Drosophila melanogaster: one gene and its partner. The protein of the gene in region 1 purifies or fractionates together with the protein of each later gene. This does not show direct contact. Each region holds a gene or a part of one and is shown on either strand. Other genes may lie near its edges.

The links.
Region 2: the proteins of Cep97 (region 1) and Sirt2 purify together in Drosophila melanogaster (affinity purification with western blotting, with the first as the bait; one study listed by BioGRID). This does not show direct contact.

What each region holds. Positions count from the first base shown.
Region 1 is NT_033779.5:3,865,867-3,872,097, reverse strand, and holds Cep97 (centrosomal protein 97kDa), read right to left. Parts: upstream 4,402-6,231; 5' UTR 4,117-4,401; coding exon 4,110-4,116; intron 3,719-4,109; coding exon 3,558-3,718; intron 3,495-3,557; coding exon 3,037-3,494; intron 2,981-3,036; coding exon 2,622-2,980; intron 2,556-2,621; coding exon 2,295-2,555; intron 2,226-2,294; coding exon 2,049-2,225; intron 2,009-2,048; exon of another isoform or gene 1,974-2,008; coding exon 1,544-1,973; intron 1,477-1,543; coding exon 909-1,476; 3' UTR 673-908; downstream 1-672. Other genes in the region: CG31957 (uncharacterized protein), read left to right, coding at 229-545; TTLL4B (tubulin tyrosine ligase-like 4B), read right to left, coding at 4,874-5,029, 5,112-6,120, 6,181-6,231.
Region 2 is NT_033777.3:20,326,458-20,331,504, reverse strand, and holds Sirt2 (sirtuin 2), read right to left. Parts: upstream 3,041-5,047; 5' UTR 2,917-3,040; coding exon 2,832-2,916; intron 2,777-2,831; coding exon 2,685-2,776; intron 2,629-2,684; coding exon 2,532-2,628; intron 2,477-2,531; coding exon 1,590-2,476; 3' UTR 590-1,589; downstream 1-589. Other genes in the region: CG4360 (uncharacterized protein), read left to right, coding at 3,969-4,632, 4,707-5,047.

The DNA of each region.
Region 1 (6,231 bases):
TTTTTTGAAAAGTATGTCACAGGCAGAAGGAAGCGATGGAACCATACCAAGCATATATATTCTTGAACAGGATCAATATCCCAATCGATCTGGCCATGTCCTTCCGTTCGTCCGTATATCTTCGTCCGTCCGTCTGAACGTCTCGATAAAGACATGTTGAGATAGCCCATCCCAACTCATTTCATGTTGATACTTAATAATGAATTTGTATCCTTCTGACCCTTTTAGTTTCGATGCCCAACAAATTCCGCAAGAGCATGTGGGTGAAACGTGGCGACTTTCTGCTGGTCGAACCGATTGAGGAGGGCGATAAAGTCAAAGCCGAGATTTGCAAAATACTCACACCCGAACATATAAAGGAATACACAAAAGCTGCAATTTGGCCGGATAAATTCACAAAGAAACCTGTACAGGAGGAAGCCACCAGCCAAAACAAAGACGACTCCGATTTCGAGGATGATCTCCTGCCCAATACAAATCGGCCTGTAAATCGCGATTCCTCCGACGAAGAGGAAGATGAGGAAACATCCAGCGAAGAGGACTGAACGATGTACAAACACACACATAGTTAGGTTATTTACAAATTTGTCAAACTTAATTAAAAAAAAACTGTTGGTTAATGCTGGTGTTGTTTTTGAACAAAATCTGCCCGCAATCAAGAACACCTTTTGTGCTTTACAAAAATTTGTATTTACGATTTGTTCATACTATTGTTAAGTCTTCCACCATCGCTGCATCTCAGGAATGTAACAAAGTAATGTGTTTGTGAATGCTGGTGCTACTTCTAAGTTCTCGTAACCGATCTAATATTGTTGCAAAAGCTACACAAAAGCCTAAGAAAGGAATTAATAAGCGCTGAGATCGACCCTTAAAGCGTTTATACTCCTCATTTATTAACTGGGATTTGTTCATGGATCTTTATCAAGATTTTCCGAGTCTTCTTGGGTCTCCTTCAGGTCGACATCATTCAATTCATCGATTTTGGGACAAGCCAGAGCAGCTTCGTGCTTGGATTCTAGGGCCAAGGTTGAGGGCCTTGTTTTGGTGAATGGAAAATTGGTGAGGTCCTCTATTTGCGGCGTGTGTACGGCAATGAGGTCCGTCTGAGTGGAGCTGCAATCAATGATCTCGGCCTGCTTCTTAATAGCGTCCTGCGGCAGATTGCACACCATTGTGAGGCAGTTGACGATGGTTCCAATCGAGCTTTGCAGCATTTGAACCTGATCGGTGAGCATGGTGCATCTTTTCGCCAAATCATTTACCACGGCGGCTGAATTTTGATCGAGACTCAGGTGGCCAGACCCTCCGCCATTGGAGTCCTCGCCCTGTTCCGCAGCAGCAGGTATTCCCTTGGGATCCACCTCCATGGTGGACACCTTTTTCCACAGCGCATTGATGGCCTGCATCTGCAGCTGCTGAATCTTTCGCTCGTTCTCGAGCTGGGCCTTCGTAAGTAGCATATCCTTGCCGAGTTGTCTGAGGAATGCGACAGATAGAGCATTAGAAAGTTGCGATATATGTTGCCTAAAACGAGACCACCTACTCGATATACTCCTGTGTGCGTCGTCGCTGCAATCGCTCGGCTATGTCCTTGTTGGTCTTCTTGCGTGTGTGATAGCCTCGCCACATCTTTTGGATGGTAACGGCCGAGGACTCTGTCACGTGCTCGATCAGCCGATCCTGGCAGTTCAGGTTGTTGTCCACCTGCTGCTTCAGCTGCTCCTGATGCATCTGCTGTTGCTTCTGAGCGGCCATCTTCCGGATTGCTCTCAGTTTCTCTATGTTGATTTGCTCGCCGTCGTCGTCGGTGCTGAAGCCACCGCTATCGGCCAAAACAGCCGATTGCTGGAGTTTCTCCGGTGCCTGCATGTTGTCCGCGCTGCACTTATTGGCCATCCTCCGTGGACTGCTCGTAGGGCTTTGGTTCCTCTTCAGTTGTGGACTTCGCACTCTTGGCAAGTTCAGTTTGTTGTCTGTAGTGTAAATGTGTATGTATGTTTTAGAAATCTGTGTCGTTTTAAAAGTCTAGAGTAACAACTACTGGCTACCTTTATTTTTGTTGATCTTGGTCTTGTGCAGCTGAGGGTTCAGTGCCGTAACCGTAACTCTTTGGGCCACAGCGGCGGGACAGACATCCGGGCTCATCAGAGTCTCCGGAACTGGGACCATTTTCGAGGCAGCCGCCAATGGACCACCAGATGGGGTTTGACTGATGAACGTTTGATCTGTGGAATTGTTGTTTACTATTAACATCATTTTCCACTCTTGCATTGAATATATTTTAATTGTCATACCATTGTAGGGATTGGGTGTTATATTCCGTGGCGTGGACTCCGTGGAATTGTATGTCTTGGTGGTCACGCTGCTGGACATTCCGCTGCCGGCCAAACTAAAGCCTTCGCCATCGTTTTTAATGTTCTCAATGAGCGAAATGCTCATTTGCAGCGAATGATTCGTAGATCCATTGTCGCTAACAATGCTATTGTTGCTGCTGTTCCCGTGATAGCTATTCACCATGGACTCCGGTGATCCCTGGCGGCCACTCAAGCGGGAGACTTTAAATCGAAGACAGAAAAATATAAGTTATATGAAAAAGCATAGATAGGGAGTTAATAACTTACATCTGGGCGACTGAATGCGACTCGTGGGCTTCTTGCGATGGGATGAGGGCGAAGTGCTGGCAGAACTATTTGCGTTATCCATGATCTCTTCCTGCAGCTGCCGCTGATGGTGTTGCGCCTTGCTGAGGATCAGCCGGAGTTTCCTATCGTTTTCATTTTCCAGCGCCTTGCCCACCAGCGGGCACACAGAACTTAGGTATTTTGCCAAGCCCTGCTGCTCGCCCACACGGAACTGGCGACCACGTCCCTGGCTATACAGCCATTCGGCCTTAAGACTCTCAATAGGATCGACCACAAAGCCATCGATGTACTTGAGGCTCATGCACCAGTTTAAAACAAAAGGTCGGTAATCAAAGCCACTGCAAGAGATGTTACATTTTAAGCGCAATCCATATGATCCATTAAGCTAACTCACTCCAAACTGTTGATCATGGTCACACAGGGATTATCCGCAATGGAAATGCTCAGCAAGTTGCTCAGATGCGACAGCGTACAGATCTCGTTGAGATCGTTGATGCTATTCTTGGCCAACGTTAGGGTTTCCAGTGAGGTGGGCAAACACTTGTCGCACTGCCTCAGATGCGTCAAGCGATTTCCGTGCAAATATAGCTCCTTGAGATTGCGCAAATAGGACATATCCGAAATGCTGCCAATGCTATTATCCGCCAGATTCAGGCACTCCAGATTGACATTCGTGTTCAGATGCTCGATGGTCTTGATGTTATTCCCCTCCAGATTCAGAACGCGCAGATGGATGCATTCCTTCAGGCCCTCGATAGAGAGTATGCCATTGAAGGACAGATTCAGTTCACGCAGGCAATGCAGCCGGCAGACGCCATACATGCGCAGCAATTGATTTCTGGCCAAGGAGAGCTGAAATATTTGAATTTCTGTTAATTAGGAACTTGTTTCTTTTCGCAGAACGTTGCAAGTCACCGTTTCAATTTTGAGATACGAGTCTATGTTGTCGATCTTCTGCAGCTCGTTCTCGTCCAGGATGAGCTGCCGTATGCTGTGCGCATCGTCCTGCTTGGGCACCTTCTTCAGCTTTTGCTTGGACAAGTTCAGGACGTGCTTCTCCTCGCCACTTTCGTCGCCTGTTTGGGTTAACAAAGCACAGTGGGTAGAAACTAAGGTTTACCACTTCATACTTATTATGCATTAAACACAATATCAGAATTATGTAAAACAAAAAGCCCAAAAAGGAAATACATAATGCAAGCTTCACTGTATACGTGTGCATGTTACAAAATTGATGACTTCATCGAGGGGTCCGCACTTTTCAAGAAGTTGGAGAGGAGGTCAGGGCGCAGGTGCGTCCTTTTTAGCCAGGACCTCGAAGCCCCCGGCCCGCTGAACATTAACCCCAACTCCCCAAAAGCAGACTGCAAATTCCCATACAGTCAGCACGCAAATCCCAATCCCCGCAAATCATATTATTAGTTACTAATATATAGTGCCCATTCTTGCATAGAACTGGCTTCTTACCACTCATTTTTCTGATTGGCAGGCCGAAATTCCAACGCTGCGGTCAATTTTTTTTTAATCAGCAGATACTTAGCGAAAAATCAATGGGCCACTCTTTTTTCCACGCAGTTTCAGATTGGCAATTTCCCAAGTGTGCAGCTCAGCTGTTCCACTTGCAGTCCTTTGGTTTCAAGCCGGGTTTATAATTCAGTCCACGCCATGATTTGCAAACTTAATTTTTATTTTAGCGCCGTGCAATACAGTGAATTTTTGTTTATTGTTATTATACTACGTCTATCGATAATTGGAGGCGTGATGTCGTTATCGGCAGCTTGAAAACTCAAGACTGCGCCGCTAGTTATCGATTGCACTTCCTTAGACTTATCGCAACTGCCAAAGCCCGCGTAGTTCAAAAAGCTTAGTACTGTGCTGAGCAATTACCCAATAAGAAAACCGATACTCTTTACAGTTTACAGTGTTCGCATAAAGAATAAATAATAAGAACTAAATTTAAATAAAATATTTATTTTCATAATTTTTTTAAACACCCCGTAGTGTTTTATATTTACTGAAATGACGTGTGATCCAATTTCTAGCTGGATGCCAAAACAGGCTATTGCCACCAAAGACGATCGAAGTTAAGTGAATTTACTGAGCGGATACAATTCCGGAGCACATCTGCACGGGATGCTGGCACAGCTGTGAGCTGGTAACGGAAACGGGAATGGAAATGGCAATGGCAATGGAAGAAGCAATGGTGATAGTGCTGATAGTTCGGTTCAATTTCAGGACTTGATCTCGATGCAGGCATCCGGAATCGGCGCCACCTCGCAGCCCTCCTGGACAACGGGCTTAAGTATGGCCAGCGTGGTGGCACCGTCCAAGACCTCATCCTTTCGCACGTGCAGCATATCGATCTCGGTAAGTGCAACATTTGGTTCCTAGATAAGAAATATGACTTGAAAATGGACTACAGAAGCGGTACGGAAGGGGAAATTCAATTGAATTGAATTGATCGTTCACCTTTTCCATGGCGGCGTCCGACACCTGTAAATGGTATTTGTCCCGGCAATAGCGCGACAGCAAGGCAATGCCCATTTCCCTATTCTTGGCGTACTTCGTCTCCCAGGCGTCCAGCAGGCGATTATAGTACCGGGCATTCTCGACATAGCGCAGATATACATGTGTGCCGGCGGTGGGGAAGATCCGTTCCAGCGGCTGACACCTGGCCAGCTCGTCCTCGGCAACGATCAGGCAACGGACATCGTCCGGCAGTAGATTGTCCAGTATGGTATCAACGTACTCCTCCCGGAATTCGATGCTCCGATTGGTGTACTGGTTATGTTTGCGGACCTCCTCTGCAGTCAGGCAGGTGGTGAAGATGCGTTTGTCATGGCACAACGGACCGGTCAGATTAAGCTCCTCCAGGATGTCCGCCTGCTGACGTTCGTTCAGCTTAGGCGGCACCTGATATAGAGCCGTATTCAGCACGGCCTGAATGAGCGGACCCTTCACGTGCAGATCCAGTGGCAATTCCGAATGCAACGACGGCGATATATTTATCTCCAACAGCCAGGGCACTAGATTCTCATCCAGGAGCACATCGAAGCCAAACAACTCGAAGCAATTGTAGCGAAAGTTCACATTCTGGCGGTACATGCGATTCAATCCCGATTCCCCGCTCACGATGCCCTTGATGACCAGATTCCGTAGCGTGGCCCACAGGCGCTTAGTGTTCACGCCACGATTCTCCAGGCAGGACCACAGCGATTGAAGCGTCCACTTGTGGCCCTGGCAGGCATTGAAATCCTCGTTCTTCGCATAGTTCTGCGAGAACTTGTTGATGCTGTAGTTGGTCAGGTGCATGCAGCGCTCGTCCAGATTGCTCAGCTCCGAGCTGTACTTAACGGACGCGAAACGCGCCAGTCCATCCTTGTACATATAGATGCGGAGTGGGTTGATCGAGGTCAGTACCACATACAGACGCATATCGAACTTATTGTCGTTGATCAACAGCGGACGTTCAATGTATCTGAAGTGGGGTTTAGGGTTAGGGAAGATTTTTAAAGAAGACGAAGTTATGGGCACCCACTTCTGAACCACCAGAGGACGATCTTTGGGAAATTGGCTCCACTTGTTCACA
Region 2 (5,047 bases), on another chromosome or scaffold:
CACTTTATAAGCACAATAGTTAGTGTAAAATCCCAAATAAGAAGACTTTACTCGTTGAGTTTTTGTAAGAAACTGATTTTATTTGGAAATATCTTCGGTTTAAATAGGTGACATGAGAATCGCATCTTAAAGTAAATGGCCTACGCAGAGGCCTAAGTAAATAGTCCCCGCCTTATCGAGGTCCCACGCTCGGGCACATCTGCCTATCTTGAGCGGCGAGGACCTTATCTGTGGTCTCCCACTAAGGGACTATTTTAGGAGGCGGGGAAAGATCTCAAGTGACTGACTCATGTAGTGTGCACTTAAATTACATGTTTTTGAGCAATGCACCCATGTCGCCTTAGATAACAAAATCCTAAATATAATTTATCGCTCTCGATTCATTTACATAAGATATGAACGGAGCCCAAAATTGTAAGTCTTTAAATATATTCGTGTTCATGTGTGAACAGTTAGTCTGAATATTTCTTTTTCGTATTTATTTTTATGTTTCAAACTAATCTTTGTATTGAATAACGTAACGTGATGAGCTAATCGATATTTATTTAACTTTTTCATGCGAACACAAATAATTTTTATTTGTGCAGCAAAACATTCGCTGAGAAGGCAAGACTCGGGAAAATTGCACATAGACAAGATCTTAGGCCATTAGCTTTAATTGCAAAAGTTTTGGGCCAAAAGCAAGTGCAATTCCAATGGCAACAGCAGTGGCAGCTGAAACTGCAACAAATTGCGTGGCTATCAATATTTCCGTGGCTGCATTTGATTTCCTAATGCATCTGCAGCCATTCATGTCCCGAAGTTGACAGGCTGGGATGCCTCCCATCATACCATGCATCCACCTCCGAACCGTCGCCCCTGTCAACGATTAACAATATCCGGTTGTGTACCCCGGCAGTAGCTATCCGCTGGCCCGATTGCGAGCTTGGTTTTAATTAGTCCTGCCCGTACGTATTTTCTATTGGCCAATTCACCGCAGAAGCTTCATTACCGGTCTACCGTGTGTGTCTCTTTCGCTTTGTGCGTGTGTGCTTCTGCAGGACAGATTGCGAGTCATTAAGTTGATGCAGCAGTAGCAGCAGCAGCAGGAGGAGGAGCAGGAGCAGGAGCAGCATCCGTGTAAGCCACACAAACAGGCAGTTAGAATGCCACATGCCACGCCCACAGCAGCGGTCGAGCCATGTCGAGGGGCTGGGCAGCTGTAACTGAATCGAAATCAGCATCAGCACCAACACCAACACCAGCATCGAAATCCATAGCCAAGCCCGGATCAGAGCAGAAAACGAAACAGAAACATGTCGAGAGTTAACCTTTGTTGGCGGTTTGCTGCTTTTTGTGCGCCGGAAACGGCAGAGCAACTCAATCAGTTTTTGCGGTTTATGGTGGCCCGGCCAAAAGGGACACGCTAATGGCTCACAAATGGCACTTGAATAATTGAATGCCGGAAACGGAGGAGAAAGAAAGCTCGCGGTATTAGCCAGCAATGCCTGCGCTTGGCATTGTCCGCTTTATACACGTAATCCACATGTAAACAAATTGCACAATTCAACTACAAATTAACTACGGATGTTACTAACTAATCTTAGGGTCTAAAGCGAAGCATCCTTCTTGTCCCTATCGCCCGAAGTCATCTTATCCGGGTCCGATTGCGGTTTCTCTTTGCCTTGTTGCAGCTCCTCACTATTCTGGCTGCCGCTCAGTTTCTTCCTTTCACTTGTAATTAGCTGCTGCAGCTCTTGGTCCCAGCCCAAGGCTTTGGCCAGAGCCATTACGCCAGCATCACAGTCGCCCAGAAAGGCCACATCCCTAGTGTTATTGGGCTTATCGAAGAGTAGCGATCGCGTGTTGGGATCCATAAAGAGCACACAGCTGGCCTGACCCACTGCATCGCGATTGATCAAGAGGCGAATGCAACGTGGTCCTGGTCTCCACACCAGTGAAGCAAACGGTTGCACTTCCAACGATGTGCCCATGATGATCAGCAGATCGCAATCCTGGAAATCCTCTTCAGGACTGGAGTAAAATCTCTTTGGCAAGTTTTCGCCAAAGAAAACAATGTCTGGTTTAACAACGCCTTGGCACTTTTGGCATTTGGGCAGACGATCGGCGAAGATCTCCGCCTTCATCCAGTCCATGTCGTACTCCTTGCGGCACTTAATGCAGTGGTTGGTGTGGAAGCTGCCATGGGCCTCAATGATCTTGTCCTCGGGCAGGCCAGTAAGCCGGTCTAGCGTGTCTATGTTCTGGGTGTAGTGGCGCTGCAGTAGTCCCTTGTCGTTAAGCAAACGGATAAAGTAGTGGGCCGGCGTGGGAATGAAGGATCCAGGGTAAAGTTCCTTGGCCAGTGCAAAAAACGGCGCTGGATTCTTTTCGAAGTAGTCCAGATCGAATATGGCCGTAGGATGTGGCAGCTCGTACTTCTTCAGATTGCTGTATAACCCGGAACCTGGGGATCTGAAATCCGGAATGCCAGCAGCTAGGAATGGCGATAACTTAGTAAGTTTTTACAATGGTATATAGAATGTACCAACATGTAGATATGCCGGCTCCCACCATGGTCACAATCTTGCGGAAACCATGCACACGCCAATGTTCGGCAAAGCCGTCAAAACTCAAATCTGGAATAACCTGCAAATTTGCGATTTAATCAATATGATAATCAAATTATCGGGTGCTCCGCTCACCTTCTCTACTTTAACTTCCTCCTTTGCGTCCGAGGAGCCGCCGAGATGTAGAGTGTTTGCAAAGAAGCGTCGAACCTTATCCATTGTGTCGTCTAGAATTCAATTCAATTAATGAGTGACAGTAAAGACCTAACTATTTAGACTAGCCTGGGGCCTCCTCGTCGTCGTCACTGGACGAGGAATTGGAGGGCGTCGTCGGTTGTTCCTCCTTCTTTACTTCGATGTCGCCCATGGTAAACAGATTCACCTTCCGGTGAAAGTATGTAAATCTGAGGATAGTGTGATGAATTCTCCCAATTGTTTATGTTGCGTTTTGTTTTAACGTAAAAAGCAAAACAAGTTCTGACAACTATCGATAGGTTTAGGCTAACGAATAAGTTATCTCTAACAGCTATTAAAAAGCTAGAATTTTAATTTCATTGCTTATTGATTTAGATTTTAAAATCAAATTTGTGCGAGCAAACCAAAATATTATAATTACTTTAAGTAGCCTATCAATGAAAGATTTTTATTTAACAGCGATTTATTAAGGGTCGCAAATAAATATGTGTTTGTAACGGTTAGAACATATTATGACTCATTAAACAAAAAGGAACCGAATAATAGAATAACTAAAGCTAAGAAGGGCGCAAAGTTACAAAATCGAGTATAGATAAAATAACAATTACACTTTGTTGATATCTGAATATAAACTAATTGAAAGGTTAAAATCAGCTGAATTGTCAGCACGGAGTGTCCAAATAATCGATAGCTGTTATCGACCCACCCAGTGTTAGGCTCTCTAGCGCCACCAGCCCTGGCCGGCCGATAGTCGATTACTCGATGTTCGGCGGGGGTGCAGCTCTGCCCGTTCGCTCAGCCCTGGAAAACCACGCCAGTCATTTTTGTTTTGATAAGGATACGGATACAAAAAGAGCGTGGCCTGGAAAAACTGCAGAAACGGCGGAGAAAGCGCCCCAAAAGCGAGCGAAAACGGTGGAAACTGATCGTGGGGAAGTGCGCGACAAAGTGGCCGCGGATTCAGGCCCTCCCAATCGCTACGTGGAAGCGTAAGCAGCGTGTTGAAGAAGAGAAGAAGAAGAAGCAGCAGCAGCGCAGCAAAAGTACACAGAAGTGCAAACCAGACGACTGAAATAACAAATCAAAAAAGGCCCCAAAAGGAGCGGCGCAGTGGAAGCAACTGCGGGGGCGGGGAATGGCCGAGGGTCGTCGGTGGCCGCCATTGTGTAACGCCGCCGATGGGCAGACTGTAGATCCACGCTAGGATCATATCTCTCGAATATCATGCATCTGAACCATGCGACAGCCGCCACGGCAGCCATGGCCAACTATCAGCACTACCAACTGCCAGCCTCCCATGGCGGTGGCGGCGGAGGAGGAGGTGGCGGTGGCGGTGGAGGAGGGAGTAATGGTGGATCTGGACCGGGTCCCAACTCGGGACAGCAGCAGCCCACCACACTGGCCAGCCTGCAACAGAGTCCCTTTGCGCTGCATCAACTCACCGCCGTGCAGGCCATCCAGCACCCTACCCACCAAGCCATGCTCCATCCACAGCACCCGCTGGTCCATTTGCTGGACATATCCACTACAACAGCGAACAGTGGCGGAGGAGGCGGGGGCAGCCACACGCCCATTTCTCCTATGAAACAGGAGGTGCAGAGCGTGATTAGCGAGGAGGAGGTGGTGGTGGACGATCCGCGCAAGAAGAAACAGTGCCACGTGTGCAAGAACAAGTTCCGGCAGCTGACCACGTTACGCAACCACATGAAGATCCACACGGACGAGCGGCCCTACAAGTGCAAACACTGCGACAAGGCCTTCCGCCAGATCTCGACGCTAACCAACCACGTGAAAATCCACACCGGAGAAAAGCCGTTCACCTGCAACATCTGCGCCAAGGACTTTCGCCAGCAGAGCACCTTGATCAATCACATCAAGACGCACAAGGGTGAGTGTGTGGTCGCATCGTCCCAATAGACCTTATGACCTAACTCTATTTCTCGCTTCGCTTACGGGCAACAGCGGCGGAGTCCAGCACGCCAACTTCCCTGTTGAACTATCAGCCGCAGACGGGCAGTGGCAAACACCGAAAGTCCCAGATGCACCAGGCCTACCAGCAGCAGCATCAGCGCGTCCAAATCTCAAAGACCTTGTATTCCGGCAGCTACAGCTCGCCGGCGGCCGAGGAGCTGGTGAAGCCGTTCCAGTGTAGCGTTTGCAAGCGCCGCTTCCCGCAGCTGAGCACGCTGCACAACCACGAGCGGACCCACATCGATCCTAAGCCGTACAAGTGCGAAACGTGTGACAAGTCCTTTAGCCAGCTGGCGACGCTGGCCAACCACAAGAAGATCCACACGGGCGAC